7 linked regions of the Coturnix japonica genome follow. The main gene of each other region encodes a partner of the protein of the gene in region 2 in a complex. Links are inferred from orthologs where the notes say so. Each region holds a gene or a part of one and is shown on either strand. Other genes may lie near its edges. The genes, in order: PHF10, ARID1B, SMARCD1, SMARCD3, SMARCC2, DPF3 and SMARCC1.

Region 1 (4,036 bases), about 9.6 Mb from region 2:
CTGAAAATTCTCAAAATGCTTTAACATTATTTATGGGGGATTTTGAGTAACTTTATATGCTTTTGTTGCTGTTTTTTGTTACCCCTAAGATCTGGAACGACGAGATCTGTCTCACAAGGAGAAACTCTACCTCAGAGAACTAAATGTTATCACGGAGACTCAATGCACGTTAGGTAAGAGAAGAATAAGATTCCTCGCTAAAGTATAAAAAATGACCCACTGAAAATGTGATTCAGTTTTGGTAGAGAAGTCACTTGCAAATGAAAATGTAAATTCTGACCTGAAAACTAGTTTATATTTTTGTTTATGTAAACTGGCCAAAGGATATCAATGCTCAATATTGATCATAAAAACATACATTTTAATTTTGTTCCAATTTCTTAGTAAAACCTATGTTGTAAATTGGCTTTTAGAGCCTTTTTCTCCTTAACAGAAAAAGAACAGCATGATTTTTTAAACTAAAACTCCATCTGTATTTTTGGCTGAATTTGTAGTGACTCAGCAAACGTTAGTGTATTCCATGGAATTGAGCTTATGTCTTAGATGTCAGAAGGGTGAATATTAAGCCACTTAAATGCATATGCAATAGAACATTGTCATTAATGCAATTTATATTGGAAGAGTTTCAAGTGTTTGTTCTTCCTCTGCTAGTATGTGTGACTTGGAGTGTGTTAAAAATTAAAGGATGCCTGTCACTTTTTTTTTTCCCAGTGTACCCATGGATCTGTGCAGATGTTAATTACATTACTTTATAAATTAACAGTCCTTGGTACACTGCCTTTGTTTCTCAGCTGCCAGCTCTCTTGAAAGTTTTACTTAAATATGCAGGATATACCCGTATCTAATTTTTATCAGTAGAAGCAAAATGCTATATTCTATCTCAGATATACAACAGAGGCATGTGGTGCATCAGCTGTCCCTGTGATAACATACGCCAACTTCTGTCCTGTTGTAAACAGTATTAGTTTCATTGGAATCTTTTGAAGAGATGTTCTGCGTGACTTGATAGCTGCAAAATGACATGTTCTGACTTTTGAACTTGAAATACTTTAATCAGGAATCAGGCATCTGTCTGCAGTTTGCTGCTCTGAATTGACCTCACAGTGATTCTTTTTTGATTTGTACAGAGAACCTGACCTTGAAATTAAAATAGTGTGAGGCAGTGAAACTGGCCATTCACCAGTACAAGAAACTGAAACAAACATCACCAGGTCCTGCTTTCAGCAGAAGTTCTGCCTCTTAGGGAAGTTTAGTAGGTGACAGTCACTGTGAAGATGAAGTTTAGCTTCTGTAGTTGTAAGCAAGGGAAGAATCTTTCCTCCTTGGGAAGAAGCAAAACCTTAATCAGCCTCAAAAGCTAAATGTCATAAGTTCACTCCTATGTGACAGAGGGTGAAGTGTCGTGCATTGTAGGTTATTGTCTTCAGCTGCTCAAAAACTTCACTTGATGATTGTTTGATATAAATAACCCACGGTTGGTTTTGCCAGGTAGCATCATTATTGCTTTTATCTATTTTAGGTCTAACAGCTTTGCGTAGTGATGAAGTAATTGATCTTATGATTAAAGAATACCCTGCCAAACATGCTGAGTATTCTGTTATACTGCAAGAGAAAGAACGTCAGCGAATAACAGATCATTACAAAGAGTACTCTGTAAGTAAATAGAATATGTTAAGTGAACCAGATCTGTAGCATGGAAGATAAAAACAAATGTTCGCAAACTGGTGGTGAAATGTGTGTAAGTTAATAAGATTGTTTTTGTTTCAGCAAATGCAGCAGCAGAACACACAGAAAGTAGAAGCCAGTAAAGTTCCAGAATATATTAAAAAAGCTGCCAAGAAGGCTGCAGAATTCAACAGCAATTTAAACCGAGAGCGAATGGAAGAAAGAAGAGCCTATTTTGATTTACAGACACATGTAGGCAAACTATATTTTTTTATCAATGTTGAAAGGTAGATCTTCGTTTTAGTAAGGGTGTTTCTTAGAACCTTTCTAACAATCTTACCATTCAGGGGGTTCATTAGTCTCATTTTAGAGACATATGGACTTTTAAGAAGCTTCTGTTATATCTGTTGATATATATGGCCAGTTCTCTTTTGGAACGCTTCTAAAATTCTCTCTGAACAATCTATTTACTTAAAAGTTAAGCTGTTTATCTGAAAGAATGCTTTGAATCGAACTTTATGCCCTTATTTTTGTTAGATGCTACATATGTTATCGAATATATATGTAATATATTATGGAAAGGTGACATCTTCCTGACAGTGATACATTAGAAACAAGATGGTGGGTAATTAATTTGACTCATTTCTAAGGAAAGAAGGCTTCTTTAAGATTCTTTTTCCCTGTATTTGTGTTATTTGTGGGATTTTTTAGTGGCACAGTCTGATTTTTGGCATTAGATGGCAGTGTTGTTGCTACCCTCTACCAGTATGGACCCACAATAATAATTAACATCAAAGATACTTCTCACAGAAGTTTACGATTACTGCTTCAATTGCTAGATTTTTATTTTTAAATTATTTTACATACTGTACTATTAGAAACAGTCTTCTTTCAATTCATCAAGCACATCCTGATTAGACTTAAATCTGTAATACTGTTTTACGAGTGGGATCTCTCGTCATTTTAGTGAGTTGAATTTTCCATGGGAGAGCTCAGGTAGCTGTTCTAATTGAGTAAAAGGCATAAACTGGCACACGCATAAATATTTTCAGGAAATGGAGGGTAAGGAAAGCTTAAAAGTTTACAAAACAAGAACTTCATTGTTTTGTGTTAAACAACAGATTATCCAGGTGCCTCAAGGAAAATACAAAATCTTGCCTACGGAGAGAACAAAGGTTAGTCCTTATCCAGTGGCTCTCATACCCGGCCAGTTCCAGGAGTATTACAAAAGGTATTTTAAAAGCATTGCAGCTGCTGTTTCTTTTGAACTGATCTCTACATCTAGCTCGTGGAAAACATTTGAGTATATTTGCAGCAGAGTTTTGAATTACTCTTATGCTTGAGGCCCTCGCTAGTCTAATAAATGTGCTGCAGCATGGGGGCTTTTGTCAACATCATGTATGTAGCACTTGCTGCTAGAGTGTCTCCTTCTCTGATGTACTGTGGTGCCTGAATTTGGTCTGTTCAGATAATCTGGTTAGATCTTGACATTATCCTGTAGTTATTTTTATTTGCAATTTTTCCCCCTTCAGTAATCATGAAACTTGATCTGGAATCTATCATCTTTACTTATTTTGCTTTGGACCCCAGCCGTTTGTGTGTTGTGGGTTAGAACTGATGCTGTGTACTTCTATAAACAAAGTATATGGTTTGTTGGCATGGATTGATCAAAAATTTGTAGGCATTCAGGTATTTTATGATTGCTCAGGTTTGCAACATTGCAAATATACTCTTCCTGTGTTCCACGAATATCTACCTACACAAAGATGACAAGTACTAAACAGTGTAACATTTGTGGGGATAACTCCGTAAGTTTCCTATATTTTGAGAAGTGCATGTCTATATGTGCTTCCCTTAAGAGGAGGGTTGGAATTATTTACATTTCTTACTCTTTCTCTCTAATTCTCATACATATTTTGTGAGTAATATCTACGCATAAAGCGCACAGGCATTCATTTATTTATTTTACTACCTTCAGATATTCTCCAGATGAACTTCGTTACTTACCATTAAACACAGCTCTTTACGAACCCCCTTTGGATCCAGAGCTGCCTGCATTAGACAGTGACGGGGATTCAGATGATGCAGAGGAAGGGCGAGGTGACGAGAAACGGAAAACCAAAGGCAATTCGGTGAGACACATTGAAAGTATTCTTCAACAACAAAAATAATCCTTTCTATTTGCTTTTTTTTTTTTTTTTTTTTTTAGTTTCAGTAATTTCCTATTACAATCTTTTAACTTTTGCAAAATGAAGTAGAATTGTAAACTCAGAATACCCACCTTTTTAGTACTTCTCTTTATTTTATAACATTTCTCTTCAACTTTCCATTTTACTCTGTTTTTAAAGTAAGTCAAACAAATCTCTGGAAT
Region 2 (4,009 bases):
TTAATATTCCGGTGGCTTTTGGCTTGATGGATCCCAAAGGGAAATTTACTGCTCTCTGTTTGGGAACCAGAGTTTGAGTCTTCAGGCAATGCTCCCGGCCGAGCTGAGAGGACATCATCAATGGTTGCTGTTATACTTTTTTCTTGTTGTTCCTCAGATTCACCTTTCCCCTCGAGGTCTTTCTTTTTGCTTGGAGAGTTTGAGGGAGGAGGGGCTTTCCTGCGCGGAGGAATCTCCATCTTGCTTTCAAAGTGAGTCTGGATATGCTCAGTTGTGTCGCCACCACCAAGCTGCCAGTGGAGAAGTCCACTATCAAATTCCTGAACGCGTCCAAGTTTGTCAGATCGGTCAACAACAAATAGATTATTTTTCTTTACAATCTTTATTGGCAGCTTGTCAAATTTACTGGCTTGTTTTGGCCTTTCACTTGGATCAGCAATGGCACCAGGAGTGGAAAAAACAATGCTCTTTTCTTCTCCTTCTACGTTTTCATCCTCCCCCTCCTCCTCCTCTTCATCGAAACAGTCAATACATTCGTCACTCTCCTCTTTTCCAGTATCCTCTGCCAAGGACTGGCTATCATCTTTCTTGGCTGATTTGTGATCAAGTGCTTTGTGACCTGGATCTCCCACTTCATATTCCATGAGGATTCCAAAAATGTCAATCAGGCATTTTCTAAAATATTCTACTAAAAGCTCAAGAAATCCAGACAACTAAGGGGAGAAAAAAAAACAACATAAAAAACAAATATTTTTGACTGCATGAAATTTCATACGGAACACTAAATTGTACAACTTCCTGCCTTTTGCTGTGGACTTGTGGCTAGGTCCCTGCATGGCAGAAGCTAATCAAATGAAATTTTTCTAGTGTCTGTCTAATCAGTATGTAACACCAGACCACCACGATTCCATTTGCTTAAAACCTAACAGCTATGAAAAGTACAGTACTTTTCTTCTTATGCACTAGCACCTTAGCTACTTTTTAGCCTAGCTGTTCCATCCTGGGATGTGCCTAATATACTTTATTGTTTCTTCAGAGTACTGAAGTTTCTAACCCTCTTTGCTTTTCTGAATTGTACATTTATTAGACTCTGGAAGTTGACAATTCTTTATCTCTTCCTTTGTCTCTCAGTCTCTAAAACCATCTGTTCTGTTAGAATACACAGTTCAGGTTCGAGGTACTGATATCCCAGATTAGTAATCCATCTCTACTGGTATGACTCTCTTTTTGTGTGATGGTATTTCAAAATTGTCATTAGAGCCCAGTGGTGTAAGTCATCCTTCAGAAACAGTTTTCATTTAGCTTTAATCCTCTTAATTAACTGGTAATCACTTTCTCACAGAAAGGCAGTAGTTGGACTCGATACTAATTTACCCTCAGTTGCTTTATTATTAAAATCTCTTTACTGATATGATACATTCAGCCCAATTGTCTGCCTTTTAATGGTTGTTTTAATTGTGGGCTAACAGATATTTTGCAAAATGCATCCTTTCACCCATTCTGTATTCATACCATTGCCAAAAATCCCAAAGAAATGAGAACAAACAGATGCTTATAAACAGTGGGAATTATCGATTGTCATATGGAGTCCTGACTGACACTAGAAATCAAGTTCAAAGCAAAAGCAACCTCTAAAATCTAAAATGATCTGGTATTCTGTGCAATTTGCACAAGGTGTATTAATGCAGTCTCTACAGAATTCAGGAGATTCATCTCCCTTAATTCCAAACACCTGCAACAGTTACAAGCCTAATCATCTAGATTCTTTTTATAATCAGTGATCTTTTCAAGGCCATTTCCAGGGTATGATTCATCTGACCTATTTTAGATCTCTACTTTAGGATGAGATGAATTATGCTACAGATATCCCTAGTTCTAAAGTTAGGTGGAATGAAACGTATAATCTGTGCCTTTTTATTTTTTTTTAATTTTTTTTTTAAAAAAAAGGTCATTATATTTTAAAAAAGATGAGTTACACTATTAGTAGCCAGGGAGTGAGTGGAGCAGAGAAACTCCATTAGATGGCATTACCAGAACGCCATCTATAACAACCATCTAACAGGCTGATAGGTAGAGCAGGGCTGAAAAATGCTGGGAGGGAGAGAGGCAAAAGCATACACTGTTAAACTGTATGCTACTATCCTGTGTGCAGACAGTGGATTTTAGCCTTTTAATTGTTTGATAAACCTACTAGTTTTGTACAAGCTTACTTTGTGGGTAGAAGGAACAAAAAAACCCCAACAAAATATCTCACAGCCGAGTATAAGGACTAGTGAATAAGACAAATAGCAACTGAAAGACAGTCTCAAATCTAACATCATTCTGCAATGACTTTTTTGGAATGTTTTTTATGTGAAATTACTAACAATGCTATTTTCTGGGATTATCCTTGTTCAACAACAAATGTGAATTTACACATTAGTCTTCTGCCAGTGTTAACACTCTTACATTCCTATGTATTCCTTTCCACAAAAGCTGCTCTCCTTTTAAGCTTATTATTTCCCCAATTCCACCCTTAAGTACATTTTGTTACTCACTGTTATCAAATTACAAATTGAAGTTTTGCAATATTCTGACTTACGTTAACATATTTTAAGAGACTTCAGCATTTTCATATCTATTTTCTTAGTGTTTTCTTTCCTTGGAAAGCTTAGAGGTACTCTGCTTTCCCACCTACCTGAGAGAGGTTGAAAGTAGCGACAGTGCTATCATCATATAGAAGAATATTAATAGTGTCTAGCGCCCAGGTACTTTCAGCCAAAAGACCAGATTTAAGAGACATCATCACTCTCCAGGCCTCAGGAGTTACTGGAGAAAGAAAAGATAAGCATAAAACAGTATTAGTGCAACCTATGAGAGTTGAAGACTTGCGATGTTTTGAAAGAATAAACTGTGATGTTCTGAGGATGCAAAATATATAGGAAATAGTTACTGAATAATTACTGAAACACTGCTTAAGACCCTGGTTTCACCACTTAGCTCCGTTATGTTTTTCTCTCTTACTTAGTGCTAATTCTGGAGAGCATTTTAATGGGGCCATTCTTCTTGACCCTGCTGAAGAAATCATCTTACAAACTTTTAAGAAGCTGGCTATAACAAACAATACATAAATGCAAGTAGAATATTCTGTCATGAATATGGGAACCTGAGGTATGGGAACTGGAACATGTGAAATATAACAGGAATTCAAGATAAGAAGATACTTAGGAAAGAATTTGGAGAGAAACAGAAGTGGCAAATAATATGGCATGAAAAAACGGGCCATTCCGCCTTACTTAGGCAGACACTGTAAGGGCACAGAGCAATAGCTCTGTTGTGAGCTTCCATGGAACAAGAATGTGGAAATCTTTGCTCACCTAAACACTGCACCAGTGATTTAACAGACATTCTGGTGGATCTTTCAACAAATAGCATTTGGAAGCCCAGACAAGCTTTATTTTTAATGTAATATTGCACTTTTTGAGAACTCAGGTCTCCATACAGAAAACTGATTTCATATGGTGTTGAACTTGCTGGTATGAGATTTGTCATCCTCACTGATTCATATTCTATTGCATTTTTAGTGAACACATAATAGCTACCAAAGTTAATTACTTGTCAAAGCAGTCTTAACAAGTAAAGGAAAACAAAAACCAAAGATCCTTTCTCCCAACCTTGCTCCCAAAAGCATTTCGCTTTTGTTTCTGTACTTACCAATATCTTTTGAGGTAATCTTTCGCCTTGGTTTTAAGACTGGCTGCGATGCTTCTACAGAGCCTGGGGGGAAGGTAATTTCTCGCCTAATCGGTGGTGGTTGGGGTGGAGGTCCTGTGACCTGTGACACTGGAACTGTGGGTATAACCTTTTGCATCTTCATGGAGGGTAGGAAAGGAGACTTGCTTGGAGACATACGGTTTTCCAAAGAGCGCTGGAAGGATGCTGGACTTGGAGCTCTAGAGATGTGATTTGGCATAGAGGGTGGTGTCTGGTAGGATGACTGAGGAGGCCTAGTGATAGGCTGCATGGAGGC
Region 3 (4,483 bases), on a different chromosome or scaffold from region 2:
TTGTAGAGATAATACAGCAAAAAGAAGCAAGCTCACCTCTACCAGGTGATTGTCAGGGCCATAGAGGTCTTTATCAAGTTCAATGACCAGAGATTTAAAGAAGGATGAGAACTTTCTTTTCTGTTTGGTGGCATCGTATTTGGACAAAGCAGACTGCAAGCAACACAGGAAGGAAGAGAGAGTCAGGAGAGCAAGTTCCAGGACTCAAGCACAGGCAAGGTGCACAGCAGTGTTCCTTTAAGTTGTGAACACTTACATTCATCAACACATGCTCGAAAATCAAGTTCCAAGTCAAAAATGGTGAAAGACTGGAGATAAAGATGAGCTTGGAGGAATTAACTTACTCAGCAATTACATAAAATGCGAGTGCCCTGGTTCTAAGAGCCAGGGTACACAAGTGCTACTGATCGGCTCTCACCATTAATTCTTATAGCTATAAGAACTTTGTATAACTCATGTTCTGCCATGGGGATACCCATCGGTCTCCGAGTTGGGCTCTCGGTCTCGTCACCATCAGACTCCTTGGAAAACAGAGATGAAGGAGGATATCAAGCCCTTAGCTACACTCCCAGACACTAAGAAACTGGTTCAATTTCCAATTCCAGACCCATCAAATCAGCTCTGCAGTTGGGTGCCTTACACTCACATCTTCTAGCAGCCTTCCTTCTACTCGAAGCTCCCAGGAGGCCACTGTTCCTTCACCATCCTCTGCATCCGACTTGGCTGGATTGAAGGTATTGGAGATAAAAATACGTAGCTTTCGCTTTTGCTACAAGAAAAAGCATCAGCTCAGTATTCATTCAGAAGCAAAGGGATGAGAATCATGCTTATGTTTTGTTAAAACTAAGCTAAATATTCTTCTTTTCCTCATACATCCACTCTCAGGACAAACAGCACAGAGAGAGGCAGTCTTGGTTCTACCCCCCCACTTAAGTCCTGGGCATTACAGTTCTCTCTATGCTTATAGGGTTATGACACAACCTTCAAAGCCCTCCTACTCTTCTGATAACAGTAAGTCTCTGAATGTCCCTCTCCTACCTTAATGGGTCGTTTCAAAGCCTCCTGGATATCCAAGCGTTTCCTCATGATCGTCTGGTCCAATTTCCTTTCAAAGGCCAGCAGGTCCATATAAGCTTGAGACTCAGGCACAAGTTCACGGATCTACAAGCAGAACACGAGCCAATCAAGAATGCAAATCACTGTCAGTTCCCCCACATCTCCATATCAGCAGAGGCTGTCAACTGCACATGCCACTCACCCTCTGAGGTAGAATTTTGTCTGCCATCTTCTTCTTTTTAGCACTGTAAAGTAAGGAGAGCATTAAAATGGCAACCATTCTGCTAATTAACACTGGACGTTCACAAAAGGAGCGAGATGAGGTTTGTGTTTTAGGACCAGGGCATCAGCAATGCTCTCAGCCCTGCAGCAGCTGATCGCCTTAATACATCCCCAAGGAAAGCAATGAAAGCAAGGCTGCATCATTGGAAAGGAAGCCTTATGGCTCAATGTGCTTTAGACAGACTTTTCTAGGAGACTCAGAGATGCATTACCAACGTTACCAAGGCATCACATTGTACTATCAGAAACTGAACATTAACTTGCTCTTGTCCAGCAGTTGCACATTACTTTTTTATCTGCTGGAAATTCCCCTCTACCAGAGACGAAGCTGCACGAGAACATCAAAGTTTCTTTCAGCCACCCAACAAAAAAAAAGCAGCAATGAGAGGCCCAGGCCTGGCTCTGCACACAGAAAAGCTTTGTGCTGCTCTGAGCAGCCAGCAGATGACACCAAGTCAGTGCTGACCCCTTCAGAGAGAGCCTGCAGCTCAGTGATGCCTGCCCTCACCCTGATACACAGATCTCGTCCCATGGGGCTTCATGAGGAGAGAAGCAATGTGTCCACGTCCACCTGGGGATGCCCTGAGCACCCTCAATGCTCTGGTGATGCACAGAGATACCTCGAAGACCCCTTGGACCCAAGGATGCCCTGAGACTCCTCTTTGCCCTCGGGGTGTCCTGAGGAACCCTGTTGCCATAGGAATGCCCAAGGATATGCCCAAGACTCATCTGCCATCCCAGGGATGTCCTCAGGACCCCTGCTGCTCTGAGGATGCCCAAGGGACATTTTGAGACCTTCACTGTTCCCTCCCCTGCCCTGGAGGAGCACAGGGAAGATCTGGGACCCTCATCTGCTCCAGGAACCCTTCCTATTTCAAGGATACCCAAGGATATCCTAAGCCTCCCACTGCCCTGGCAGCATCCTTTGGACACCCATTGCCCTGAGAACCCCCCTGTTGCCAAGAGGACACCCAACGATGTCCCCAGAGCCTTTCTACCCCATAGTTATCCTATGAATGACCCGAGCTCCTCCCCCCACTCACAGCTCTAAGGATGGCCAAGGATGCCCTGATCCCCCCCCCCCCCCCCCGCACCGTCTATTCCCTGAGCCCCCCAGCACCCCCGGTTCTTACTTGTGGTTGCGGTTGGGCACCGCCTGAGGCTGAACCTGCTGCAGTTGCTGCGGCGCTGGTCTCTTACGGGCCTGATCCAGGCCGGCCTGCGCCATACCGGGCCTCACTGCCGGGCTCCCACCGTACCCGGGCGGCCCCATAGAGGGGCCTTGCGGTGCCAAACGGCTGCCCGGTAACATCCCAGGGCGCTGCAAGGGGAAGAAAAAAGCCGTTCCAATGCCCACCCGGGGGGAAGCCGGCCCCGTCCTCGGCCCCGCCGCCCCCACTCCCTCCCGCCCCGCCCCGCAGCGGCCCCTCCCCTGCCTCACCGGGTAGGCGGCCCCTGGTAGAGGTGAGCGGTACAAGCCCTGTCCCGGGGCTGGGCCCATGCGCACCGGTCCGCCTGGTGTGCCCGGACCCAGCGCTCCGGTCCCGGTAGCGGCCCCGCCGCCTCCACCGCTGGGAGTCACTGACTGGAAGCCCGCCCGCGCCGCCATCTTGTCCAGCACAAAGAGGAGCGGGCCGGAACCGGAGCTCTGACATAGAGAGAGCGCGGACAGCGGCCTAGAGCGGCAACGGCTGCAGAGAGCGCCCCCTGCCGGCGGGAGGAACTGCGGGGGGTGGGAAGTAGTGGGTGGGGAGGGGGTCGTGGGTGGGTTTAAGGTTCACTACTGTGGGGGAATAGGGGCCTGGGGGAGTATGGCAAGGTTCTGGGGTGGGGGTGGGGGGTGTAGAGCGTGGGGAGGGCTGTGGGTGGGGGTAGAGGACTTGGAGAGGGCTATGGGATGGTGTTGGGTTTGGGGGTTTCAGAGACCATGGATGGGATGGGGTATTTGCAGGGGGGGATGTGTGGGAAGGGGCTGCGTCCTGGGGACATGCATGGACCATAGGAAAGTGTTTTGAGGGTGCAAGGTGCTGGAGGATGGTGCTCATTAAGCCTCGATGCTGTGACTGAGTTGGGGTGGGGGTCCCCTGTTCTTACAGGTGCTCTGTGCTCGTGTTTGGGGCTGCTTTGCTTAGGGCTGGGGATGCTTGGAGGAGGATTCCTCCCTCCCTCAGTAGAAGGCACAGCGCTGAATTAAAGGCCGCTTTTTGCAAGTATTAGCATTACTTTCCTTGTCCCCAGGGCACTCATCCGTGTGGTTGCTCATAGAGCAGAGGGACCTGCATCCAGCCTGCATTAATCCATGAATAAAATCCAAGAGAGCAGCCACACCGCAAGTATTAATTAAGCAATTAATGATAATCACAGGCCATTTAGGAAGCTGTCCTGTACAGTGCATGGCATTGTTGACTGAGGAGAAAAGTGGGGAGTTGTTGGCATCTTTTCCACCAAATTCAGTGTTTCTTGACCTCGATAGAAAACACGATGCCGTGAGCACAGCCATTAGCTGTTGTCTCAGCATCCGTGTGTCCGTGCAGTTAATGTAATGCCACCTCCAACACAGCCTTGGCGCCTGGCTGCCTGATGAAATATTCATGGTGAGGAGAAGCGGTGGAACTTATCTGCTCCGTATTGTTCAGATGCAGCAACTTCAAGTGAGGCTTAAAGCCCGGCAGGAGCCTTTGGACAGAGTTAGGAAGTGGCTGGGAGGGATATAGAAATAAGGAAGGGCTGAGCTGAGAAATGGTCTCTCTCCAGCAGCAGTTCCCTGTCTGCCTGGAACTGGGGAGCCCAGCACTGAGCCCAGTGCTCCAGTTGTGGCCTCCCCAGGGCAGAGCAGAGGGGAGGTGCACCTCCCTCCATCACCCTGCTGGCCAGGCTCTGTGCAGTGCACCCCAGGGTATCATTAGCCTTCTTGTCACACTCCTGGCTCATGGTTACCCCGTTGGCCACCAAGAGACCCACGTCTTTTTTTGCAGAGCTCCTTTCTCACAGCTCAGCCCTTGTCCACTCATCCAACCCACACTTAAGAGCTGTGGGTTCCTAAGAGCTGAGCACAGTGTTGCCCCAGCTCCCCCTCTCCAGGGACGTTCTGATGCCATTTCTCCTTGTCCTCTGTCATTAGCTGTGTTTCATAAGAAGCAAGGGA
Region 4 (4,036 bases), on a different chromosome or scaffold from region 2:
GGCATGGTGGCTCCTTGCACTATAATGAACATTCTATTCTGAAATATAAAGCATTCCTTAACTATCAGGGCTATCTTGTCTAGTTCCAGAGAAGTTACTATTTGCAACTCTTAGGTAACACAGGATGAGCATTACCTTTATTTCTCTAAATCTGTAGTCTTTTATAACACTCAGCTCAACCTCCCCCATCAATACTATCCATGATTCTATGCATAGCCCATAAGGATTTGCTGCATAGTGTCTGAACTTTCCACTAGAAGTCAATGGTGCAAGTTGATGAATTAATCTTTAATCTTCTTTATCACTGACACCTGTATAAAGCATGGCAATCTTCTGCTATCTATGGCCTGGAATGATCTGAGACACCTCCCATGGGCGCTGTTTTCAAGGGTCACTCTAAAGCTGGTGTTCTGACTGGTTTGTTGATGGTACATTCCCATCCAGTTAGGAAGCAGGTCCATGTGTAACAGTGAGCAAAGTAACACTGGGAAGTCCACTTGTTCTGTGGTCATGATGCCAATGTGATGTTTTGAGCAATACTTATGTGTTGCGCACTCCCAGAGACTGTTCCAGTTCCTGTCGGCGCTGCTGAATCTGAAAGAAAAAGAAAAACTGTACAGTTCAGCAGATTCAATTGTTCAGTGACAGAAAGATTCACTTATGAGTTATTAGTGTGGCTAACTCCATCATACCTTGCAGTAGAAATATCTGCTCACAGCCTCTTGAGACCATGGCTCATGATAAAATTCAGCTCTGCGTTCTTCTTCTGGATTTCCAACTACATCAGTCATCACCTGTGACAAAAATAAAAATACTTTTCACTACAGCTACTTTAACATGTAGAGAAATATTAGATTTACCTGGGATCAAAATTTATCTGCAATGCTAGTTTAAAAATATTCCAGACTGACCTCTAAGCCCAAGGCAAATGAAAAATGAATGGCATGAATGGCATGTGTGGTTACCGCCAGTACATGACAGTAATATGCAAATTGTGAACAGCTCCTAACCTCTGCTCCAGAGCTATGCTAAGGAGTAATTCAGCTGCCCAAGCTAAGTACTATAGATCTCTGATGTCTTAACAGCAGGGAGAACACTGAACAAATGCTCTATGTATGCAGCTACAGAAGCTCCACAATACCTTAGTTCATAAGCTCTTCAAGCTGAAGGTATTTTTGAACATTCCCTTATATATCTATTCCCCTCTTGAATATAAATAATAATCAGAATATTAACAATAGATCTTTGGAAGATTATTGATTAACAAAGTAGATGTTTATATTTGAAGGACAATCCATTAAAATAATTTCACCGCTTTATTGATATAACTGGTTTTGAGGTGTCTGATTTAAAGATTCAAAGTGCGAAACATTGTGAGAAACAAACTCTTATTTTGCTGGCAAACACCTGAACTTCCTTACATTCCATTTCTTGGAAATTTAAATGCTTAGCTAAAAGGCAGATGATATTTAATCTGCTATTTCTTAAACAAGATTTAATTATGAAAAATAACAAAGCATTCAAATTGTGTTACTGTGCTACAGAATCCTCCTACTAAGTTTCATATACCTTTAATTTTATTGAGTACTGTATGGGAAACTGGTAATCACAGCCTGAACCTCTTATTAATCAGCTGAGGCAAGTGTCGGGTCAGCTGTGGGAGCACAGGTGAGGGTAATTCAGGTGGAGCTTGACTCCACCTCTCCTAGACTTCATTTAAGGGCTGACCACCACTAAGGCAGTATATCTTTGAGATTGTTCCTCCATTGTCAGCCTCAGCATTTTTCCAGCTGGACTGTAGGCATCTGTGTTGGTGAGTCTTTCCTATATATATCCTTTTGGATTTCTATCACCATCCTTGTATTATTACTATCTTTTGTATTATTCCGCCTTACAAGTACATCAACATATCCTTGCACCTCCATTTTGCTTTCTAATAAAAAGTTCACCTAGTCCCTATTCTGGGAGTGTAATATAACCTAACTGGTCTTTCCTGTATATTTTCTGCTCTAGGATAGCAGTGTTACACTTGTCTGTCTTCTTCTTTTCTACCAATTTTCTATCCTGGACATTTTAGCAATACATGCTATACACATTTAACTGTAGTCATTATACTCTTGCCCACTCTTCAAATCGTAGCTCACCTTAAGATCCCTGCTTTGGGACCGGAGAAGGTCTTGGATGTATCCTTTGGGATCTTTGGAGAAGCTCAGCATGAAATCACGCTGTGTCTTCAGCTGGTTGATGGATTCGATGGTCTCATGGATCTAACAGAAAAAAATAAGCTAGATGTTACTTAATTCCTCCCAGGCTTCCACGGTCCTGAGGCCAGCCTCATTAGTGTCTTTGCGGTTCTTGTAACATGCAAAGATGACAGTTGTACACCAAAGACCCATGAATGATCCCACTGAATTTTCCCTTCAAAGTAGGAGTTAACCCTCATCTTGAAATTACATCTTGATTTCACATGTATTTCTGCAATACAAGCATATTCTTCACTTCCTGCATTGAACTGTTGGATGGCACATATATACAATACTGAAGAGCCAAGTCTTGCTCTAATGTAATGATTTCTTGTGTATAAGCAGTCTTTTCACCAAGTCAAGGATTTTTCAGTTAAGGTACTGTATGTTTTTAAACAGTACAATGCTGTATGTTTTTCCAATGCAAGAAAGCAGTTATTTCTCAGGTTAGTTATCATTATGTATGTACCTGTCAGCCAGCTCTAACTGCTGTGCTTGTGCATAATTCTCATCTAATAAAACAGGATACAATTCTGCCAAACAGTTCCAAGTTATTTTTCTGCCATTCATTTTCTACTGTTGCTCTCAGCGCATCAAGCTGCTCTGCAATCGTGCATATACAGCACACATAAGAAATATGGGATTATCTTAGCTTTCCTACATAGAAATTTAGCAATACTTCATGACATCTCAATAAAAGTTTATAGATTCTTGAATACACTAAAAAAGAGCAGTGCTGAGCAGGAATTCTGAGTTTATTATCTCTGCAAATTTTATAGGAGGCACTCATTCTGGAAAATTACCTAGGGCAGAACAACTATATCTGGACTTCTAAATATTTCTGCATTTATAAGTTCTCTCTACAGTCAAAAGAGATCGTGACAATACAGTCACACAGAAGAGACCATAGAATAATTCATCTCATCCAAGAGCAGACATTTGCTATCTGATCAGTTGTATCATGTGTATACAGTGTAAAAGAGATTTAAAATTGTTCAAAAACTAAATGTAATGCAGAATATCTATTTACCCAGACAGTCCCAACATTTTAGCTTTTTTTTTTTTTTTATTTCTTTTTCTTCCACAGTAAAAAGTGGAGTGCAGTGTTCAAGAGGTGTCTGGATGAGGAGCTACAAGATATGGTTTAGTGGCTTGCAGTAGTAATGGTAGTGGGAGGATGGTTGGACTTGGATGATCTTGGTCCTTTCCAACCTTGTGATTCTATGATTCTGTGAAAATATAAGCACCCTGGTCAACTCACTTGGAAGTTGTGTCAGTGTTACCAGCCCAGCTGTTCCTAAAGTCTTTGGTTCACTCATCTCTGTTCATACTCTGCAAAAGACTGCTTCCTTCAACCTATCCAAGCGTTAACTCAGCTCCTTGCCTCCTTCTCATGTGGTGCTCGGTGATATGATTTAGCAGAGGGTAGTTAGAGCTAGGGTACTATGGTTAGGCTGTGGTTGGACTTGATGATCTTCGAGGTCTTTTCCAACCTGGGTAATTCTATGATTCTCTTTTTCATTAGCATAAATCTAAAGCAAATTATTTTTCCTTCCCAATTTATTTATCACCACTATTAATGCCTCAATAAATGTCTGTCCTTGAGACTCTTATAGCTCAAAACATGCCATCCATCATTTAAACTACAGTATTAATCTTTCTTTATCTGGGGAACTACAGGCCTGTCAGCCTGACCTCAGTACCAGGGAAAGTTATGGAGCAAATCATCTTGGGTGAGATCATACGGCATGTGCACGAAGTCCAGGGGATCAGGACCAGCCAGCACAGGTTCA
Region 5 (4,569 bases), on a different chromosome or scaffold from region 2:
GGAAGGAAAGCAAAGGATTAAACAGAGCTGGGAACAAATAGAGGAGGTGGGGAGGAGGGGAGGGAAGCAGCTCCCACCTGCACCAGGGATTTCTCGATGGTCATAAACATCTCCACGTTGCGATCCATCCGCGAGGGATTCTGGAAATCGAAACGCCGCCTTATTGGAAGAAAAGAGCGACTCTCATGAAAGCCACAGCTCAGGTCTCCTCATCACTCAGCCCCATTTTACCCATTAAAGGGGGGTGGGGGGACACCCCAACAGGGATCTGTGTATGGGGCTGTGACCCACAGATGGGCAGCCAACACACTGCCCAACCCAGGGCTGTAACCGCCCCCATTGTGCCCCATAGAGCAGACAAATCTCTGCCTCCCCCCTCCCAACCCCACCACCACCCTTAATTCCATCCCATCCTCCCTATGATGCCGCTCACCATCCTTGGTCGCTCTTGAACTTATAAGCAGCCGCCAAGATGTGGCACAGGGCTCCCCCCGCCTTGAAATCCAGGAAGCATTTGATCTGGAAAAGGGGATGGGAGGACTCGGGGGGGGGGCTGCCCCACAGCGGGCAATACCCCACAGCGGGCAGTGCCCCACAGCAGGCAATACCCCATACATAGCAGGCAATGCCCCACAGCGGGCAGCACTGGGACTCATCCCTTCTCCCTATTGTCCCCATTGCTGTCCCTGCTCCATGCCATGGGGGCGACCACCCCAACAACCCCCCCGCCCAACCCCAGCCCCAAAGAGCCCCCCAAAGGGATGGGAGTGGGGAAGAGGAGGGTCCCCATGTGTCCATCCCTCCCAGCTGGGCCGTGTGGGGCCTGGGGGGCTCTCGCAAAGACCCCTCCAAAGGGGGTGGGGGGTGGGAAGGGGGAGGGTCCCATGTGTCCCCCCCCCACCAAGGCATTGCAGGACCGGGGGGGTCTCACAAAGACCCCCCTAAAGGAGGGGGGGGGGGGAAGAAGAGGGTCCCTATGTGTGTCCCCCCCAGCTGGGCCATTTGGGGCTGGAGGGGTCTCGCAAAGACCTCCCCAAAGGGGGGTGGGGGGGTGGGTCCCCATGTGTTCCCCCACACCAAGGGCCGGGGGGGTCTCGCAAAGACCCTTCCAAAGGGGGTGGGGGGTTGGGAAGGGGGAGGGTCCCATGTGTCCCCCCCAACCCAGGGCATTACGGGGCCGGGCCGTGCGGGTCCGGGGGTGTCTCAGGTCTTTCAAAGACCCCTCCAAAGGGGGTTGGGGGGTTGGGAAAGGGGAGGGTCCCCATGTGCCCCCCCCCCAGCTGGGCCATTTGGGGCCGGGGGGGTCTCGCAAAGACCTCCCCAAAGGGGGGTGGGGGGGTGGGTTCCCATGTGTCCCCCCCAACCCAGGGCATTGCGGGTCCGGGGGTGTCTCGGGTCTTGCAAAGACCCCTCCAAACGGGGTGGGGGGTGGGGGGTGTCCCCATGTGTCCCCCCCAACACCAAGGCATTGCGGGGCCGGGGGGGTCTCGTAAAGACCTCCCCAAAGGGATGGGGGTGGGGAAGACCCCTCCAAAGGGGGTGGGGGGTGGGGAAGGGGAGGGTCCCATGTATCTCCCCCAACACCAAGGTATTATGGGACCGGGGGGGTCTCACAAAGACCCCCCTATAGGGGGGGGGGGGGGGAAGGGGAGGGTCCCATGTATCTCCCCCAACACCAAGGTATTATGGGACCGGGGGGGTCTCACAAAGACCCCCCTATAGGAGGGGGGGGGGGGAAGAGGAGGGTCCCTATGTGTCATCCCACATTTGGGGCCTGGGGGGTCTCACAGAGACCCCCTCAAAGGGATGGGGGTGGGAAGGGGGAGGGTCCCTATGTCCTCCCCACCCAGCTGGGCCATTTGGGGCCAGGGGGGTCTCGCAAAGACAACCCCAAAGGAACGGGGGTGGGGAAGAGGAGGGTCCCTATGTGTCCCCCCCAACACCAAGGCATTGCAGGGCCGGGGGGGTCTCACAAAGACCCCTCCAAAGGGGGGGGGGGGTCCCACGTGTCCCCCCCAACCCAGGGCATTACGGGGCCGGGCCCTGCGGGTCCGGGGGGGTCTCACAAAGACCCTCCTAAAGGAGGGGGGGGGGGAAGAGGAGGGTCCCCACGTGTCATCCCACATTTGGGGCCGGGGGGGTCTCGCAAAGACCCCTCCAAAGGGGGTGGGGGGGTTGGGAAGGGGGGGGGTCCCCATGTGTCCCCCCCCCCCCCCAGCTGGGCCATTTGGAACCGGGGGGGTCTCGCAAAGACCTCCCCAAAGGGATGGGGGTGGGGAAGACCCCTCCAAAGGGGGTGGGGGGGTTGGGAAAGGGGAGGGTCCCATGTGTCCCCCCCAACCCAGGGCATTACGGGGCCGGGCCTTGCGGGTCCGGGGGTGCCTCGGGTCTTGCAAAGACCCCTCCAAAGGGGGTGGGGGGGTTGGGAAGGGGGAGGGTCCCCATGTGTCCCCTCCACCCCAGCTGGGCCATTTGGGGCCGGGGGGGTCTTACAAAGACCCCTCCAAAGGGAGGGGGGGGGGTCCCATGTGTCCCCCCCAACCCAGGGCATTACGGGGCCGGGTCGTGCAGGTCCTGGGGTGTCCCTGGGGGGGGTTGCGGGGTTTGCGGGTCCCTTTGTCCGCCCGGCCCAGTCACGCACCGGCAGTTTGGTGAGCGGCGCGTTGCTGACGTGCTTCCCGAACACTTCCTCCTGGAACTGCAGCAGTTGAACCACGAGACTCGACAGCGATTTGTTGGTGGGGGGCTCGGCCTGGATGTACTGCGGGAGGGGGCTCAGCCTCGGGCCTGGCTCCGTGTAAAGCGGAGCCGTGAGGCCTATGAGGGATCCCGAACGATCCGTACCTTCTTGTAGTTCTTGCCCAACCAAAGGCGGACGTTGTCGAATTGACTGACGGTGTCCGAGGCCTCGTAATATTTGACGTTGGGGCCGCCGTCCTTCTTCCGCACCGCCATCTTCCAGCGGGCCGGGCCGCTCCCCGCCGTGACGTGACGCAGCGCCCCCTGCCGGTAACGAGGGGTACTGCAGGACGGCGCCCCCTGCCGGTAATGAAGGGTACTGCGGGACGGCGCCCCCTGCCGGTAATGAAGGGAACTGCGGGACGGCGCCCCCTGCCGGTAATGAAGGGTACTGCAGGACGGCGCCCCCTGCGGGCAGAACAGGGGTGAGTGTGCACAGCGCCCCCTGCAGGCCGAATGGAGATGAGTGAACACAGCGCCCCCTGGCGGCACGGAGGACCCGATGGATGGGGGCGGTGTGCCGGGTCTAGGCGGAGCGCGGATGAGGGAGGCGCTGAAGTCACGGTGGCCGAGAGGTGAAGGCGTTGGACTCGAAATCCAATAGGGTTTCCCTGCGCAGGTTCGAATCCTGTCCGTGACGGAGCTTTATCTTTTAATGGGGGGGGGGTCCCTTTTTAATGTGGGACTCTGTATAACACGGAGCAGTTCAGAAAGGCTCGGCCCCTTTTAGTGTGACCCCCCCCCCGACCCCTCCTAGAGCAGCCACAGCTTCGCTACAGAAACCAGAACAGCCGTTTTTATTGATCGCTGAACGCCCCCCCCCCCCCCCCCCCCACCAACAAGGGGGGGGGAGACCCGGAACCGCATCGTACAGACAGCGGAAAATAGGGGGAAGGGGGGGGGAGGACCGTAAAAAAAACCAACGTAACGAATGAGAATAAATTAAAGTCCCATAGGGTGAATGGGGGGGGGTAAGGGGGGGTATGAAGCCATCGGTGGCACTCCAAAATCAAAGGGGGGGGGAGGAGAATGGAGGGGGGGGGTAAGAATGGAGGGGTGGGGGAAGGCTGAGTAGTACAAAATAATACAGAACCACGAGCACGAGTGGCTGCAGAGGAACAGCAGTGGGGCAGAGGGGGCTCCTATTGCCCCCCAGGGTGGTGCCAGACCCCCTCCCTGCTCCCCCCACCCCCCCCCCTCATTGGCTCCCCCTCGCCCATAAATGCCCAGCTCTGCCTTTAGGGTTAAATGGGGAGAGGGAGGCCAGGCCTGGCCCCCTGGGACAGACACAGGCAGCATAGGGCAGAGAGCACAAGGGAGGCAGCCGGGGGGGCTGCAGGCACAGCGTGAGCATCCGTGGGGCTGGAAGCCCATGGGGCTGGAAGTCCATGGGGCTGGAAGTCCATGGGGCAGCAGCCCAGCAGTACCCGGGGTGCAGCTGTGCCTCCTCTGCCCCCTCTGAAGACACCAAGTGGGGATATGGAGCTGCAGGGGGCAAATGGGGGGTGGGCTGGGGTGGATGCAGCGGTTATAAGGGGGACTTGGGGGGAAGGGGGGGGGACATGGAATCGTTTCATCCAGCTGTGAGCAGAGCCCGGCCATTGGCAGCATCCACCCCAGGCCTCGGTCCCAGCCCCCTCCTCAGCACAAAGCATCGCTTCTTCCAACGTCCATTTATATTTCCTCCACTCCGTGTGCAAATATCATCACCAGCCCCGGCTCCAGCACCATGTCCTCACCCATGTGCTGGTTCTCACAGGCCATCACCACCACGGCCTGTTTGCCTGGGATCCGTTTGGCCACGTAATTCTCGTAGTAACGTCGGTTCAT
Region 6 (4,036 bases), on a different chromosome or scaffold from region 2:
CAGAGCTCCTGTGAAAGGCTGGGGGAGGAGGAGAGAAGAGGGAGGGAGTTATGTGCAGTATTGTGTGAAATTAACCCTGAACTGTTTATCATGAAGTGCAGTTTTCTGACTCCCTTAACAAAGAGGACAGTGAGAAACCAGGTTAATACACTGAGATCCCAACTCTCCTCTGTTTTTCAAACTCTCTGTAAAAGAAAATGGTTCCTGGATCTTTGCCATTTGTCTTTATACAGTTTTTCAGGTTACAGATAGTAAATGGCAATGAACATAGCCACCTTAGTATCCATCTTGTGTGCTGGTAACAAATTTTTGAAGATGTTCAGTATGAGCATAAGTACAATGTGTATAGCCTGAAAACAAGGACACTAAAACTAAACAAGGATGCTTTGACCCACCATAACAATACTACAAGAAATAGATGATGCAAAGAGACCCAAGGGAGCACTAAAGGGACTAATAAAAATCAAGAAAGAGCAGAGCAAATATGGGGGAGGAGGGCTGCTTCATTTTGCACTTATTATTCTAATTTAAAATAACAAAGACATCAGATTTGGTGGCTGAAACAAGTGCAGAAAGCCTGATTCGCTTAAGACTCTCTATGAGGAATGTTCTGCCATTAGTTCCCACTGGAGCCACTGACTCTTTTGCAGGGGAAACCACAGGAAAGTTCAGTAACAGAAGTGAACAAAAAGATTTGCTCAGTGCATTTGCCAAAGGTCATCCATAGAGCCAGTGACAGAGCTCTTGGCTCCTGGTGTGATGCTGTAACTCTTTTAGGATGATTTCCTCCATAAATGCAGAGACACCAATGAGACCCATACAAGACTACGTTTGCTTAGTTTGTAGCAAGTGCTCTTGCCAAGACATCATTTGTGTATATAGTGGATGTATACATGTTTATTACTGAGTTTACAAGGATTAAAAAACAGCATCTTGCTCATAACTTGATGTTACAAGAACAGAAATTGCACAGCCAAACTGATTAGCCAAAAAGAAGAAAAAGAAAAAAAAGGAAAGCTAGCTTTGCAAAAGCTAACAATCTCTTAGGAATTAGGAGGTTTTACATTAGAAAGAAAATAAAAAACGTGGTCACAAACCACATTTAGCATCTCAGATTACTGGAGTAGTTTCGGCAGTTGAAATATTCTTAGGATATATTTAATGTTGGTGAAACACCTGCTGTCTCCTGCAACAGAAGTGGCTGCATTTTACTACAGTTTTCTGGCGGTACTGCAAGACCACACCACACCTACTTTGAGTTTTTTAGGAATAGAAGCAATGTAAAGATATGCCCCCTCCTATCCTAGGAAGCGTTTCAGATAAGCACCCTTCAGAGGCATCAATTGATTTCCTAGTCTGCTCACAGGAGGGGAGGCAAATAACATTTGTGTTCCTCCTGCTACAGCTGCTGCAAGGTAGCCAGTGGAGGAGGTAACAGCAGCCTGCACCTACACACAGTTACAGGTCTGGATTTTTTTCTTTTCTTTTTTTCAGTATGGTTTACAGGAATTGACAGGGATATGTGCACATGGTCAGTGTCTGAGCACAATTGACTCTTTCCTGCCTGGATTCTCCAGTACGCACATTGGGAGGGGAGAAGCGGGGGAAACACAAATCCACTCCTGTATTGTCAGAAAATCCATGCCTGTGCTAACTGTGGATCAGATACTGAGCCACACTCTAGCAAAATTCTCACTGGGTTTCAGGAGTTCTGTTTAAGTAACATCAAGCCTCTGAACTGGTGATTGTCCTCTGCTTTCAAAACAAGCATTTCAGATGGATTTACACTCTAATGAAGGAAGGACTGATCAAAGCCTATTAAAATAACAGTGGTCTTTCCCCCTCTGGACAAGAACTTAGCCAAAGGTATTTGAGGATGCATACCAATTTTTTTCTGCAGCTAAGGAAACTGAGGCTCCAGAGCTGATATCCAAACTTGTCCAGAACAGAACTAGAAGTTATACTTACATTTATAATCATCAGAACAACATTCATTCCAGAAGTTTGACTCTCCTGTATTTCACCTCCACTGTAAATACTGCCCGATACAACCCCTTATATTCACCATTCACCTAAGACTTTCACCTCTGCTTCTCCACCCTGAACATAATTTCAATCCTGCTTACAGAGCAGGGTATTGTGCCTTCTACAGACTGGGATCAATAGCATTAGAAGAGCTACAGTGATACAGCCTTAGAAACTACCATGTCAGGCACTTCTTCGGGTAGAGAGAGAATAATTAGGATCAGCTCTCTGCAGTTACCAAAGGAAATCCCCTGCAGGCACAGAGGTTTAGGCAGTTTCTCTTCTGCATGGCCTGTAGCAGGTTTGAGTTCCTATTAATTAAATCCCATGAGGGCTCAGTGGCCAGACCTCCAGACATGTGCACGCACATGCAGACACAATGCTACCAACCTGGTCCCCTGTGCCGCTTCTCCATCCAGATGTAGCAGTTGTTCTGAGCAACCCCAGTCTGCGAGTCCAGGAAGGGAAGGCGAACGCTCCGCTCAGCACACAGCCGAGAGTTGTAGCTGCGACAGTGCTCAATTGCTTCTTTGTAGAACTGGTCCCCAAGCCTGCCAAAAGAGACAGAGCGGAGATTAGAAAAGGTTGCTCTTCTCCTTAAACAAGACTAGGAAAAGGCGGGCATATATGGTTGTCTTATTCAAATAGGCAACCAGAAAAACTTCCCCTGAACACGTGAAAAGCTGACTGACACCACACACTACCAAAGCAGATCATGCAGAAACTGTCAAAGGATGATACTCTTTAGAAACCAGACACAGATCTTTTCAGAAGGCATTGTTACTGAATGAGCACATGGTATAACCACACTGGCTCCCGACCCAGGGCCAGGCACCATGTACACAGCAGTGACCTCATTCTATTGTCTCTCTTCCCCAGTAGTTTGCCCAGCCAAGTCAGCACACCACACATGTCAATTTTGTGCTATAGCAACTCCTGCAGTATTGTGTGCAACCAAAAAGCCAGACAGGTTTACAACTTCAATCCAGCATTTCTTAGTCCAAAGAACCTGGAAGAGCAAAAGACACAGTCCTCATATTGTGTGTTTCAGAGTCGTGAAAACACACATGTTAATAGCTTGAGCCATGTTTGCAATGCTTACACTAGTTTTCTCTCTACCATTCCAGAGTTTTCCACAGTCGGGTTTAAGGCACCAACAGCAGCAAGCTACAATAGCAGTTGGTAGGATGCAGCATGGCAAATCCTTTGTTCTGGAGCTCAGTGGGAAGAACCATGCTAAAGACAATGTCACTTGTTTCATAAATATTGGTTCAAAAATTCTGACGAATCTTCATATTCCCCTGAGAAAGGTTTGAAAACTGCCTGCTGGAGATTACCAAAATCCTCCCTCCAAATTGTTCTAAACAGGGAAAAGCATCAAAGTAGAGCTACCCTAAGGACACAAAGCAGCTGTCATGCTGGAGCACTGCAAAGTAGGTGGGCCACACTGCTGAAACCTCATTCTTGATCTACTGTCAAGGTGAAATTCAGTCGTGACATGAATAGCTAGGAAAGCTACCCATCAGGGGTAAGTTCATTAGAAAATAGGAGCAGAATGAGATACAGCTTAACTTGCTCTGACTCCAACATTCATTAGTGTGCAAAAAGAGTATAACACACAGCAAGGGAGCTGGAGGGATGCACGCACAAAGGTAAAAGAGGCTCCCTTTGCTGTTCTGTTAGTTGTTTATCTACTACCCTCTTGTATAGGCACAACTGCCATTTTAAGATGCCAGATTGGTGCAAATCACTATTTTTCTGTATCTGACAGCCTGATACTCCTTTTTTTATGTCACTTGTCATTTTCACCTCATGACTTTCATGGGAGCAGTACTCTTTCCCCATGGGCTGTAACGGTGTAGTATTTTCTTGTTGACATGGGGTGATATCAGAAACTTACTGAAGAACAAAAAAAACAGGCAGACATCTCTGGCTCCTCCTTCTCATTTTTTGATAACCAGTTTCCAAATCTCAGGTTACCCAGTCATGGATAATGTTAAAAGATTTAATG
Region 7 (4,036 bases), on a different chromosome or scaffold from region 2:
TTCAGCCCTTCCCAGCTCTGTGCATGGGGAGTGCTGGATCAGTAATAAGGTTGTTAGGAGAAGATGAATCCTAAAAGACATGATAAACTCCGTTAGGCATCAGCATACAATGTGAGCTGTGTCCCACCTGTCTTCCAGATACCTGGCTTACCGCAACTTCATGATCGACACCTATCGCCTGAACCCGCAGGAGTACCTGACCAGCACCGCCTGCAGGAGGAACCTGACGGGAGATGTGTGTGCTGTCATGAGGTGAGGGAACATCCATCTTTCAGCCAGTGCTTGCATTAGAAGAAAAGGAAATAGCGCGGCTTTGGTAATGGAAATGCTCTGGTAGGCAGGATAGGTGTGGGTAGCGGAATCAATTGAGTTTGAAGAGGCCATTTAAGGTCATCTAGTCCAGTTCCCCTGCACTGAACAGGGGCACTACAGCTGGCTCAAGTTGCTCAGAGCCCATCCAGCCTGGCCCATCCATCCAGTAGCCATTGTGCTGTCACTTTAGCAGTCTGTTCAGCCTCCTCTTGTAACCAGAGTATGTTATACTGTCCTTTATTTATGGAGTTCTGGGTGCTCGGTGAACCTACAGAGTTGGGGTCTTAACCTTTAGTGTCTGCTCTTTATTAAGCGTGTGGAGTTCATTTCAGAGTTCCTGGGTCTGCAGTTCAGTTTGGTTGGTTTGCTGTGTTTCACCAGATTTAAGTTGTGAGGTGCAGCAGAGCCCTGAAATCTCAGAACTTGCTGATGGTAGATCCAATATGAACAGCTACAGGTGGGTGAGAGAAGAAAGGGGTTGTGCAGCCCTCACATTGGTATGATGTCTGCAGATGGCTCCACATATGCAGCCTGAGCTTTACTTCATCTTTAAATAGATTTCCTGTTGTTCTGTTCCCGTGCTATATGCTAGGTGTCATGCTGGAGAGGTAATCAAGTCCACACAGTATGCCATATTTATTGCTCTTGTGATCAGTGAAGGTCTGTAGGAGGTGATGAGCCAATCTGATCCAAAACCAACCATTCCTTGGCTGTCTTTGCAGTCTTGCTTTGTTTCTTAAGATGTGGGTTTGTCCTGTTGTTTCAGAGTGCACGCTTTTCTGGAGCAGTGGGGTCTCATCAACTACCAGGTGGACCCGGAGAGCCGCCCCATGGCCATGGGCCCTCCTCCCACCCCTCACTTCAACGTGCTGGCCGATACACCCTCCGGCCTCATGCCTCTGCACATCCGTACCCCACAGGTGAGCCCTGCAGTGCCCTGGGGGTGGGAGGTGGCAGCTCTGGTCAGTGTCGTGCAGGAGAGTCTGCACATGTTGCTCATGGAAGGTGTTCATGAGTTCAGAATGGGTCAGTTGAGTCATATCGTATCATATCATAGACTGGCCTGGGCTGAAAAGGCCCACAGTGCTCATCGCATTCCAACCCCCTGCTGTGTGCAGGGTCAGCAACCAGCAGCCCAGGCTGCCCAGAGCCACATCCAGCCTGGCCTTGAATGCCTGCAGGGATGGGGCATCCACAGCCTCCTTGGGCAACCTGTTCCAGTGCATCACCACCCTCTGGGTGAAAAGCTTCCTCCTAAGATCCAACCTAAACCTCCCCTGTCTCAGTTTAAAACCATTCCTCCTTGTCTTATCGCTGCCCACCCTCACAAAAAGCCATTCCCCCTCCTGTTTATACACTCCCTTCAAGTACTGGAAGGCTGCAGTGAGGTCTCCGTGGAGCCTCCTCTCCTGAATCAGATCCGCACTGATGCTGTGTAAAGACATCTCCATAACTCATCATGTTGAGCTGTTTTGTTGGTTCTGTGTTGTGCTCAACCTTTGTCTGTAAACTTGGGGGATCCCTTTCAGCTCCTGACACTCCGTCCTTCCTTTCATGTTTGCTCACAGATCCCAGCTGCTCAGCAGATGCTGAGTTTTCCTGAGAAGAACAAAGAGAAACCCACTGACCTGCAGAACTTTGGGCTGCGCACAGATATTTACTCAAAAAAGACCTTAGCAAAGGTAAGTGCGTTTGGATTTCTGTTCCCCTGTGGCTTCTATTAAGTGGGTTCTATCAGTTGTCCTCCTCCAGATGACAGTGAAATGACTCGTTACTCTCAGATTCCCACTTCAGTTCTCACTGGAGGACACTGAGATGCCTCGCTGTATTCATGTTGGGTAAACAGTTTTGAAGGAGAGGACCACGTGCCTGTCCCAAACTACTCAGTGCTGTCAGTCTACAGACACTGAATTTGTGTTATCCTTATTTGATATTTTAATTGAATGCTTCGAAGTCAGCCAGGTGTCAAATAATTCAGTACAGAACCAAGAATCTTTCAGCAGAATCTTGAGTATAGAACTCAGGATCTGTCAGCAAAGTGCAATGTCTGGCACTTGGGCTGGAGGAATCCCAGTCATGAATACAATTGTGTTTTCCTCATCTTTTATAGAGTAAAGGTGCCAGTGCTGGAAGAGAATGGACGGAGCAGGAGACGCTGCTGCTGTTAGAAGTAAGTTCCTGGGGGAAAATGTAAGGCCAGGAGACAAAACCATGTAGGATTTTATACAGTAAGGAAAATGGACACGGAGGTTTAGTGGGTTCTTTTGAAGTCGGGGCAGATGGCAACAACATCCTTTTTGCTGCAGTTCTGAGACCCGGCAGACGTAGCTGGAGGGATGGGTGGTGGAGCTGTGTGTGCACGAGGCTGCCTGCTGCTGCTGTGCCTTTGGAGCTGGTAAAAGGCTGGGGCTCTCCCTTGAAGCTGTATCTCTTTCTTTGTCCGTCATCTCTACCAGAGCGCTGCTGCTACACAGATAGAGTGGAAGCATCTTGTACTGAGGGGACATTATGTTCTTTAAGGTTCACTTCTATCTGATTGTAGCTACAGCCCAGGAATTAAATGCTTAGATATGTTTGCACAGAGTCGAGAGCAGGTCTTGCAATGCAGGGAGGTCTTTGCATTGAGCAGCAGTTAGCAGCACACTGTGCCCTTCAAGGAATGGTTTATCTGCATGTAAGAACATGGAGAAGTTCTCTTGATCTTTCCAGGCTCTCCAATAAGCCATAACATGTTACAGGGAGCTGCAAACAGCCGCTCTGGAAGTTGAATTATTTAACACGCAGATTGTTTTCCTGTGCTCTGCCTCTTAATAAAGGAAGCTTTTAATTTGGTAGCCCTTGCATCCAGCACGTTAATTCATTCCAGGTGTGGCTGTCAGTCTGCACACTGCTCCATTCGGCCTGGGGAAGGACTTTGCTTATGGGGGAGAACAGTGAGGATGTGCTGTTCTGGCAGGGCTAATCTCAATGTGCTGCCTTCTTTTACTCCTGTTCCTGATAGGAAATGCTGGTGCCTCACACACAGCAAGCAGCCACCTCATGAAGTAATCCAGGCAGCATATTCATTTTTCTTTTAGGAAAACAAACAAAGCCTTGAGATTGCAAATGTATTTAATGCGAGTTTCAATTATTAATGTTCCTCATTCTTTGTGGATTTAACCTATGAATTAATCAGTACAGAGAGAATATCAGTTCAAGCGTAAGTAATGCAGCTGTAACGAGGCAGCTTGGTCCAATTAAATCCTCGGGGCGGCTTTGGGCAAATATCTGTGTGGTGCAGTTCCAAAGAGCAAATGGTACCTAAAATAGTCATCTCAAATAATGCCCATCCTTCCTCCTGTTGGCTGAGCAATGGGAGGGGTTGGCTTTCCCTGCCTGCCCCACTGCTCTGCCCCTCCGTGGTGTTCCAGAGCTCTCAGCTATTCCTAATAGGACTACAGAAATCTACCAGGGAGTGAAGGAGAATGAGTAGAAACCTTTCACGTGGCTGCAGGACGCAGCACTCGATCTGATGTGCTGAGTGGCTGCAGTGGGGATGTGATGACACGTGGTGGGATGGATTTAGGGAATGTGTGATGCTGAATGTGGGGTAAATGCTTCCCCACGAGTCTGACCCAGTGAATTGAGCAGTGTCACATTGCTTTAAACACTGCAGCAAGGGAGGCAGGAGGCTGGGGGAGCAGATCCTGAGCAGCTTGGGATCCTCAGTTCCAGAGGAGCTTGT

The links.
Region 1: ARID1B (region 2) and PHF10 share a complex: the UniProt entries of both Homo sapiens proteins name them as parts of the neural progenitors-specific chromatin remodeling complex. The link is inferred for Coturnix japonica from reciprocal best matches to the Homo sapiens genes ARID1B and PHF10.
Region 3: ARID1B (region 2) and SMARCD1 share a complex: the UniProt entries of both Homo sapiens proteins name them as parts of the neuron-specific chromatin remodeling complex. The link is inferred for Coturnix japonica from reciprocal best matches to the Homo sapiens genes ARID1B and SMARCD1.
Region 4: ARID1B (region 2) and SMARCD3 share a complex: the UniProt entries of both Homo sapiens proteins name them as parts of the neuron-specific chromatin remodeling complex. The link is inferred for Coturnix japonica from reciprocal best matches to the Homo sapiens genes ARID1B and SMARCD3.
Region 5: ARID1B (region 2) and SMARCC2 share a complex: the UniProt entries of both Homo sapiens proteins name them as parts of the neuron-specific chromatin remodeling complex. The link is inferred for Coturnix japonica from reciprocal best matches to the Homo sapiens genes ARID1B and SMARCC2.
Region 6: ARID1B (region 2) and DPF3 share a complex: the UniProt entries of both Homo sapiens proteins name them as parts of the neuron-specific chromatin remodeling complex. The link is inferred for Coturnix japonica from reciprocal best matches to the Homo sapiens genes ARID1B and DPF3.
Region 7: ARID1B (region 2) and SMARCC1 share a complex: the UniProt entries of both Homo sapiens proteins name them as parts of the neuron-specific chromatin remodeling complex. The link is inferred for Coturnix japonica from reciprocal best matches to the Homo sapiens genes ARID1B and SMARCC1.

What each region holds. Positions count from the first base shown.
Region 1 is NC_029518.1:36,960,407-36,964,442, forward strand, and holds part of PHF10 (PHD finger protein 10), read left to right. Parts: intron 1-89; coding exon 90-173; intron 174-1,519; coding exon 1,520-1,653; intron 1,654-1,767; coding exon 1,768-1,917; intron 1,918-2,786; coding exon 2,787-2,896; intron 2,897-3,643; coding exon 3,644-3,797; intron 3,798-4,036. UniProt on the Homo sapiens protein: Involved in transcription activity regulation by chromatin remodeling. Belongs to the neural progenitors-specific chromatin remodeling complex (npBAF complex) and is required for the proliferation of neural progenitors.
Region 2 is NC_029518.1:46,526,017-46,530,025, reverse strand, and holds part of ARID1B (AT-rich interactive domain-containing protein 1B), read right to left. Parts: coding exon 3,694-4,009; intron 2,809-3,693; coding exon 2,678-2,808; intron 714-2,677; coding exon 1-713. UniProt on the Homo sapiens protein: Involved in transcriptional activation and repression of select genes by chromatin remodeling (alteration of DNA-nucleosome topology).
Region 3 is NC_029544.1:347,807-352,289, forward strand, and holds the start of SMARCD1 (SWI/SNF-related matrix-associated actin-dependent regulator of chromatin subfamily D member 1), read right to left. Parts: upstream 2,984-4,483; 5' UTR 2,948-2,983; coding exon 2,780-2,947; intron 2,660-2,779; coding exon 2,472-2,659; intron 1,302-2,471; coding exon 1,259-1,301; intron 1,162-1,258; coding exon 1,039-1,161; intron 770-1,038; coding exon 641-769; intron 154-640; coding exon 37-153; intron 1-36. UniProt on the Homo sapiens protein: Involved in transcriptional activation and repression of select genes by chromatin remodeling (alteration of DNA-nucleosome topology).
Region 4 is NC_029517.1:52,820-56,855, forward strand, and holds part of SMARCD3 (SWI/SNF-related matrix-associated actin-dependent regulator of chromatin subfamily D member 3), read right to left. Parts: intron 2,268-4,036; coding exon 2,145-2,267; intron 795-2,144; coding exon 693-794; intron 595-692; coding exon 541-594; 3' UTR 1-540. UniProt on the Homo sapiens protein: Involved in transcriptional activation and repression of select genes by chromatin remodeling (alteration of DNA-nucleosome topology).
Region 5 is NC_029544.1:895,656-900,224, forward strand, and holds the start of SMARCC2 (SWI/SNF complex subunit SMARCC2), read right to left. Parts: upstream 3,000-4,569; 5' UTR 2,956-2,999; coding exon 2,845-2,955; intron 2,762-2,844; coding exon 2,642-2,761; intron 526-2,641; exon of another isoform or gene 520-525; coding exon 434-519; intron 160-433; coding exon 78-159; intron 1-77. Other genes in the region: RNF41 (E3 ubiquitin-protein ligase NRDP1), read right to left, coding at 4,414-4,569. UniProt on the Homo sapiens protein: Involved in transcriptional activation and repression of select genes by chromatin remodeling (alteration of DNA-nucleosome topology).
Region 6 is NC_029520.1:23,819,143-23,823,178, reverse strand, and holds part of DPF3 (zinc finger protein DPF3), read right to left. Parts: intron 2,577-4,036; coding exon 2,416-2,576; intron 1-2,415. UniProt on the Homo sapiens protein: Belongs to the neuron-specific chromatin remodeling complex (nBAF complex).
Region 7 is NC_029517.1:723,451-727,486, forward strand, and holds part of SMARCC1 (SWI/SNF complex subunit SMARCC1), read left to right. Parts: intron 1-138; coding exon 139-252; intron 253-1,078; coding exon 1,079-1,232; intron 1,233-1,880; coding exon 1,881-1,994; intron 1,995-2,422; coding exon 2,423-2,482; intron 2,483-4,036. UniProt on the Homo sapiens protein: Involved in transcriptional activation and repression of select genes by chromatin remodeling (alteration of DNA-nucleosome topology).